Nothobranchius furzeri: one gene and its partner. The protein of the gene in region 1 purifies or fractionates together with the protein of each later gene. This does not show direct contact. Links are inferred from orthologs where the notes say so. Each region holds a gene or a part of one and is shown in the gene's direction. Other genes may lie near its edges.

What was found.
Region 2: the proteins of cpvl (region 1) and capzb purify together in Homo sapiens (affinity purification with mass spectrometry; 3 studies listed by BioGRID and IntAct, with this or other methods). This does not show direct contact. The link is inferred for Nothobranchius furzeri from reciprocal best matches to the Homo sapiens genes CPVL and CAPZB.

Annotation. Positions count from the first base shown.
Region 1 is NC_091745.1:35,785,958-35,790,265, reverse strand, and holds the start of cpvl (probable serine carboxypeptidase CPVL), read left to right. Parts: upstream 1-1,360; 5' UTR 1,361-1,485; coding exon 1,486-1,490; intron 1,491-1,601; coding exon 1,602-1,777; intron 1,778-1,844; coding exon 1,845-1,966; intron 1,967-2,762; coding exon 2,763-2,877; intron 2,878-2,956; coding exon 2,957-3,015; intron 3,016-3,093; coding exon 3,094-3,173; intron 3,174-3,266; coding exon 3,267-3,333; intron 3,334-3,410; coding exon 3,411-3,533; intron 3,534-3,706; coding exon 3,707-3,838; intron 3,839-3,908; coding exon 3,909-4,007; intron 4,008-4,085; coding exon 4,086-4,259; intron 4,260-4,308. UniProt on the Homo sapiens protein: May be involved in the digestion of phagocytosed particles in the lysosome, participation in an inflammatory protease cascade, and trimming of peptides for antigen presentation.
Region 2 is NC_091743.1:46,428,146-46,431,960, forward strand, and holds part of capzb (F-actin-capping protein subunit beta), read left to right. Parts: intron 1-212; coding exon 213-334; intron 335-1,061; coding exon 1,062-1,175; intron 1,176-1,248; coding exon 1,249-1,390; intron 1,391-3,014; coding exon 3,015-3,131; intron 3,132-3,208; coding exon 3,209-3,274; intron 3,275-3,390; coding exon 3,391-3,467; intron 3,468-3,815. UniProt on the Homo sapiens protein: F-actin-capping proteins bind in a Ca(2+)-independent manner to the fast growing ends of actin filaments (barbed end) thereby blocking the exchange of subunits at these ends.

The DNA of each region.
Region 1 (4,308 bases):
ACAAACACCGGGATCTCAGGCAGCCCGTTCAGAAGCTGCCGTTTGGTGGTGGGTCACGGTAAATGTCGGTGGCAGACCACCTCCGGATCTGCACCTTTTCTTCAGGTCCTGTGTCACGTTAGAAGCTCTTGAACTGAATGGGTTTCTGTGTGTTTTGCGCCCCCTGGTGGATATTTGTGGTTCGGACACCACAACAAAGAGCCCCGGAGTTGTGGCCCGAGCTGATAAACATCCCAATAAAGACACAAAACAGACCCACAGAAAGGACGCGCGATGATATCAGAAAAGAGAAGCGAGCAGACACTAATGGCCTGCCAGGTTCCTCCTCTGTTTAACTGTACACACAAAACTAATGCTGAACCAACCTGCTCTTCCCCTTAAGCACGGGGCTGGCTGGTCAGACTCAAGCCTGATTTATGCTTCTCCGTCTGCGTCAGTGCGGAGACACGCAACGCCATTATCCGTACTTGCGTAGGGCACGCAAGTACGTACGGAGTCGAGCCCACTTTTTTAAACATCCGTCGAACGAGACGGATTACGCAAGCTTGTGATTGGTCAGGATGCCGCTGTTGTTTACAGCGCCGCCATTGCAAAGAGAGCCGAGGATAACTAGCGGCAGACACGGAGAAGCTTGAAGAATACCTCGCGAAAAAACTCTAAAAATATGAACGTTTAATTCTCCCGTGACTGGAGGAGTGAAAAGATGCGCAGCAAGCATTTTATTTGTGGACGGAAAAGACAGGAAACGTGGGTTTAGAGGTGGGGAGCGCATGAAGGGGTGGGAGAATGAGAGACAAATATGTACCTGTTAAAAGTCACTTATATACACAAAAACCACAATATAAACACACGATCTTGGACCGATGCATGACAGGATACCACAGAACAGCGCTACGCCCTCTGTTGTCCTGTCAGGCAATTGCTTTGCAACACTCTCCAGGAGACGGAGAAGTACAAGAGCAAAACGCTTCCGTCAATCCGTGCGTGTCTGTCCCTTGCGGAGCTGACGGAGAAGCATAAACCAGGCTTAACCGCGCTGCAAAACCACCATCACCCAGCCAACAAGTGTGTGTGTGTGTGTGTGTGTGTGTGTGTGCGTGTGCGTGTGCGTGTGCGTGTGCGTGTGTGTGTGTGAGGGGATGGGGTATAAGACTGAACAAGTGGACTAAATGACATTTTCTTTTATAAAGGACAAGTTGCTGTAACTGTACGGGTTTCCTCAGCCAGGCACGTCTGAACCAACCTTTAGAGATGGTCCAACAGCTGAACAACCCGCTTTGTTTGAGGAACGGCTGAAAATCCTGCCAGACAGCGCTCCGGGATTAAATTACGCTCCTTGACAGAATAAACCACGTGACTGAATCTCACGTGACCGCCCTAGGTCTGGTCACGTGACTGCCTCACTCAGAGTTTTTGAACAGTCCAGTTGGATTTTTCCCAGACTGGGGGTGAAATTGGTCCCGTTACCGAAGAAACGGCCGGATAATGAGGTGAGTTTGGACTAATTCAGGCCCTTCCCGCCGTTTGAGCCCGCAGGTGGTGCGTGGTGGGACTATTGTTGTGAAACACGAGGCCTGTAGTCTGATATGAAGTGTTTGCAGGCTGTTGAAGCAAACTCCAGGTTTCTTGTTGCTGTGGGTCTGTGTGACGGTGACCTCCCACCCCTGCTCGTCGTTTTTCTGCCGAAAGTCTCACCGTGTGAGCGGCCAGAATGGAGCGGACCCCGGCTCCCCTCTTTTCCTCACCCCGTATCTGGAAAAGGGCGACATAGACGAAGGTAAAGCACACCTGTGCGTGTAGCTAGCAGCACGTCTCCTCACCCGTGTTTGTGTCTCTCTCCTCAGCCAGGAAGCTGAGTCAGGTAGGAAGCCTACCCGGGCCAAACGTCAAGAGCTATGCAGGATACCTCACAGTCAACAAGAAGTACAACAGCAACCTCTTCTTCTGGTTCTTCCCTGCCATCATGGTAGGTCCAGCTTCTCCTTCTGATCGGAGCTTCCGCAGGTCTCTTCAGCTCAGCAGTTGCATGTGTTTAGTGACAACTTTTAATCAGATGTATCTGATGAATGCGTGTTTGAAAACAACCAAAGTCCTCCAGCAGGACGGAGCGGGAATGTCTCCGGTGATCTTTGTTCTTCCTGATGCGTGATCGATAAATCAGTAACTCGAGCTTTCATCTGTCTGGTCAGCAGCGTAGGAAAGTCACGTGTGCCATCTCACCTGACATCCAGAAAGCAACAAACTGGTGCACAGATAGCACTGCAGATAACAGCAGGTCTCCAGAAACAACCTGGAGCTTCCACTTGGGTTTTTATTGTTTACTGAGCTGAGCTAAGGCTAGTCTGAGTTTGGATGTGTGTGGTGCAGCAGCAGCAGCTCAGGAGGGAGGGGTTCAGGGTGCACGAGTGTCCAACAGCACATGTTTATAAAATGACTTCCTTAGTTCTCCTTTAAGCATAATGTTCACTCTGTCATACAATCTGAGAACCCTGCTGGAACGTTATCACCATGTTTAGATGTCGTTGTGTCTTGTTTGCTATAAACATGATTGTTTTTAAATAAATGGTCACCAGTAAGTTCAAACGTTTGCTGCAAACAAACAAACAAACCGTGTTTGTAGACGACAGGACCGCGTGTGTCCTGCTGATTTTATGGTTTCATTCTGTGTAAAAACAAAAGGAAGTGCAGTCAAATCCGGCTGTTGCAGAACTAAGCCTACCACCAGGTGGCGCTGGTGCGTTAACTTCCTCCCTGACCTGCAGGCGGGCCAGGAGGGGGCTCCGGTGCTGCTGTGGCTCCAGGGCGGGCCGGGAGGGACCTCCATGTTCGGGCTGTTTGTGGAGCACGGCCCTTATGTGGTTTACAAGAATCTGACAGGTAAATGACGTCATCTGTGACGCAGAGTTTTGTTTTGTTGGGATATTTTGGATAAACTCTTGTTTTTCTTTCCCTGCAGTTGGTCTGAGGGACTTCTCCTGGACAAGCAGATACTCGGTTTTGTACATAGATAACCCGGTATGTTTACTCCTTTTATAAACAACAACAAACAGGCTAACGCCACCAGACGGGGCTGAGGTTGCCTCTGTGTTTTAGGTTGGAACAGGATTCAGCTTCACCGAACACGATGGCGGGTTTGCTCAGAACCAAGATGATGTGGGCAGAGATCTGTACAGGTTTGCTTCCTGTCTCGGTTGAAGCACCGCCCCTTTGGCGAGGTGTTTTCTTACCCCGACTTCTCCTCTGGTTTTGTCTCTGTCCTGTAAAAGTGCTCTGACACAGTTCTTCCAGCTCTTTCCTGAGTATCAGTCCAACGAGTTCTACGCCACCGGAGAGGTACCTTTGACCTTTTGGTCCGTGTGGATGAACAGAGCTCTCGAGTTTTGGGTCCTAGCTGACGTTTCTGTGTGTAGTCTTATGCAGGAAAGTACGTTCCTGCTGTTTCCTACTACATCCACAAAAACAACCCCACTGCTAAAGTGAAGATCAACTTTAAGGGCATGGCTATTGGAGATGGACTCTGTGATCCAGAACTGGTGTGTTTCCTGCACCTTACTCATATGATGCTGTTGGTTAAATAAATGCTGTGTTTCTATCCTCACACTCTTTATGCTTTACGGCTGATTTCTTGATTGTGTCTCTAAACAAACCTACGTCTAAGTCTTCTGCCTGAGCGTTCACCGGGGACTTGCCTCTTCTCCCACATCAGATGCTGGGTGGTTACGGCGAGTTCCTGTACCAAACGGGAATGATCGATGAGCTCCAAAAGCAGTACGTGAACAAGCAGACGGACCTGGGTGTGGAGCTCATCCAGCAGCAGAAGTGGGTGGAGGCCTTTAAGGTGAGCCGTGGGAGAATGAGTCAGGGTTGTGCTGTGGTCTGACTTCAGCTGTAAACGAGTCTGCCCTCAGGTGTTTGACTCTTTGCTGAACGGCGACATGGACCCGTATCCGTCCTTCTTTCAAAATGCAACTGGCTGCACGAACTACTATAACTACATGACATGCCAGGTACTGGTTTTCTCCTGTGGTGTGCAACACTTCAGTGTTTTTACACCGCAGCCAGTGTTTCCTATCTAAATGTTCCAGGAGCCTGAGGACCAGGAGTACTTCTCCGAGTTTGTGACCCTGCCTGCCGTGCGACGCTCCATCCACGTGGGCAACCTCACCTTCCACGACGGCTCGGAGGTGGAGAAGCACCTCCTTCAGGATGTGATGAAGAGCATCAAACCATGGCTGGGAGTTCTGATGGACAACTACAGGGTAGGCGGACGTGCAGCATGTCAGTGATGTTTGAGGTGTTCTGGTTCCG
Region 2 (3,815 bases), on another chromosome or scaffold:
TTCAATAATCTGTTGTTTTCTACATAAAATTTCTTGTTGAAACCGTTTTTTCTGTGGATGACCTGCTCAGTCAATCAATCAAAGATACTTTATTAATCCCAGAGGGAAATTAGAGATTACTGTTGGAAAACTGAACTTCCTGGAGGATTAATAAAGCTAATCTGGATCTGAATTATCCTAATCACCTGTTTTTTCTGTGCGTTTGCCTCCAGGTACCCAGTCTGTGTGAGGACCTGCTCTCCTCGGTTGACCAGCCCCTGAAAATTGCTCGGGACAAGGTAGTGGGGAAAGACTACCTGCTCTGTGATTATAACCGAGACGGCGACTCCTACAGGTGGAGTTTAGGAGGACAATTATGTCTGCAGTTTGCAAAGAACACACACACACACACACACACTTTACATGTTTAACCCTTGTGTTATGTTACCTGGAAAATGATTAAAGCTTTCAAAAGTGTTGGACTATTTAGAGATGGTATGATATTCTGATTTTTTTTACCATGAAAGTAGTCATTTGTGGTTTTTGTACATCATATGGAGTCATTAGATGCTGAACATATCCTTTATAGTTGAGCAAAATGATCAATTCTTTAAAAGATATCATCGTAATTGTCTTTTTACAAGCTGAACATTGGCTCAACAAGAACTAAAGATGATTAGTGTAATTTAAGACTTTAAGCCAGACATTAATTTGATCTACCCTCAGGATGTCTGGTTTTTATTTAGCTATTCTCTCTTTTGTATTATGAATGGTCTGATTTGTAAGTTGTAAAACTAATGGGAAACATTTTGCCAACAACATAAAACTACTTTCTCTTTTGGCTCCAAAACTCATCAAGTCTTTTTCTCATCTTGTAAAGATGAGTTTTAATGGTGAGCATTTATTCGTGCACAGTTGTTTAGTGACATCATCCTTCTCCACTTTTATGGACTGATTTAATGATTATATTTTGTGATCCTGATTGGTTGTGCTTCAGCCAGTCTTTAGACCTTTCCTGGTGTTTTTTCTCCCTTATTCTAGAACCGCCTTGACATTCCATTCTGTTACGTGTTCTCCTTTAGATCCCCGTGGAGTAATAAGTATGAACCCCCTATTGAAGATGGAGCCATGCCTTCGGCTCGCTTGAGAAAACTCGAAGTCGAAGCTAATAACGCCTTCGACCAATACAGAGACTTGTAAGTACTAGCAGGGCTGTCCGTCTCAGGATTTCTGCAACGGGCATTCACACTTCATACATTTGCTCTTCAGGTACTTTGAAGGGGGCGTGTCCTCTGTGTACCTGTGGGACTTGGATCACGGTTTTGCTGGAGTAATTCTCATTAAAAAGGCGGGGGATGGATCCAAGAAGATAAAAGGGTGTTGGGACTCTATCCATGTGGTGGAAGTGCAGGTGAGCAGAAACTGGTTTTGTTTCTGACTTTATGGTTTTTAATCTGAGCTTTAATAATTTCCTGTGATGGGAGAATGTTTTATGTTTTAGCAGTTTTTCAAAAGCAAAGTGACCACCAAAAGAAAGGAGAAAGGAGTGTTTGGTTGAGGACACCTGGAAAAAGAAGCACTCTAAAATAAGAAGCAGCCTGATTTTTCAGAGCTTTTTCAAATTCAGAGTTACTGAAGCGATGCTAAAACTGGAGAAATTCTCATGCAACCCAAAAGAACCAGCGTCAACATTCTGGATCAGCTGAAGGCCTCTTTAAAAACCTTTTAAACATCGTGCTAATTGCAGTAAACATGGAGATGCAATAAATGCAAATGAGTTGTTTCTGCATCAGTTTGGTAGCCTGGCCTGTCAGACTCGTCCTCTGCTGAATTCTGCACAGAGAGTCTGGTAACACACAGGCAGAGAGGCACTTGAGGGGTGGGACTAGGCAGCTCAAAAATAACCAATCAGAAAAAAGATGAAAATGCCGACTGTACCGCGCGATGCTGTAGTTTTTAGCTGTGGTCAAAAATAGCATCTTGCAACGACGCAAACATATATATATATGTGTGTGTGTATAGATATATAGATATAGATATATAGATATAGAGATATATATAGATATCTATAGATATATATAGATATCAATATATATATCTAGATGAGATATATATATATATATTTTGAGAGAGAGAGAGAGAATTTTAGTTGTTTTAGAAGAAAGGCTTTTAGTGCTTCTACTTGTGGTTTTAAAGACACGTTCAAGTCATTTAGAACAGAGGAAAGAGCCGCAGCGAACTCCTCTTCAGACGCCATGTTTATGACAAACTCGGCATTGTGGTGTGTGACGTACGCTACTCGGCGCTGATTGGCTCGGTTAGAATTCTCAGAGGGTGGGGTTATTTGAATAGGAGAGTTCCCAGACCTTTTCTCTGTGCAGATTTAAACAGAGCAGGAGTCTGGCAGGCCAGGCTGTCACTCTGGGTCAGGATATTCCAAAAATGTAGCAACAACACGGAAGAAGGCAGTCCTAGCAACATGTTTCTGTATTAGAGCTAAAAGACGGTCCTGATCCACAACACCAAGGTTCCTTGTGATGGTAGAAGACAGGTTAATGTCATCCAGAGGAACCTAATAACTCATTTTGTTCCCAAAGGGCTCGGGTCCATAAATAAGCTCGTCTGCATTTAAAAACAAAATAAAGGTTTTTATGTCTCTTATGTCTTTAAACATGTTTGTAGTCTGATCACGAGGCTTCAGAGATGAAGATAACCATCATCAGCATTTATCCTGTGAGGTCCAAGAGTCTTGGTTCCATCACTGAATCCTGAGGAACTCCATGACTAACTTTACCAAACATTCAGTAGCACATCTGTCCTCTTTATAAAACTATTGTAGCTTGTGTTGGAAATGCCCTAGGGAACATCTAACTGGCCTTGAATGCTCTTCTGGACCAAAGATGCTGGTTCAGTCACCCAAATAGTCATCCAACAGTTCTGACAGATGAGCTGGTTCTGGTCCGTTTTGTTTACATGCTGTTCTGTTGAGTCTTAGTTAGTTTTTCATATAATATTCAAATATTTTTTGTTTGTAGGAGAAGTCCAGTGGTCGCACTGCTCACTATAAACTCACCTCCACTGTCATGCTGTGGCTCCAGACGACCAAGACCGGTTCTGGCACCATGAACCTGGGTGGCAGCCTCACAAGACAGGTGTGTCTCTGCTCTGAACAGCTTGTTCTGTGATGCTGCAGTGGTACTTCAGGTCATTTTATTTTTTACTTGTCTAGATGGAGAAAGATGAGACGGTTGGAGAATCTTCACCCCACATCGCCAACATCGGCCGACTCGTTGAAGTCAGTATCACTTGGAGATATTTAGTGTGAAATAATATTTTACAGGTTATTTGCGGGGTGATGTGGTCATCAGTCATTTTTAGGTCACTCTAACAGTTGTTAATGTCCTGTGTCAGGATATGGAGAACAAGATTCGCTCCACGCTGAATGAAATCTACTTTGGGAAGACCAAGGACATCGTAAACGGCCTAAGGTACGGCTGCTTGAGCTGTCAAGTGATCTGGTATCGGGCTCCTAGTCAGTTCCTCCATAACTGCCTTTTTTAACTCTTATCTGGTGGTTTATTTAAAGCTGACTTTCCCAGTCACATGGGCATGAGTGGTAAACCAGAGGGTTTACTGCTCCCATTACTCAGGTGTGACTTGACGTGGTTAATTATAGGAAGACTTGCAACCTGACTAGAATTGAATGTCAGTGACTTGTGACTCCACTTAGTTCTGTCTAATGACAGGGTGTCCGCGGGGTTTTAAAAAGTATTAAAAAGTGATAAATAAAAATAGTCAAATTTAAGGCCATTAAAAGTGTTAAATTTGGTCTCAGA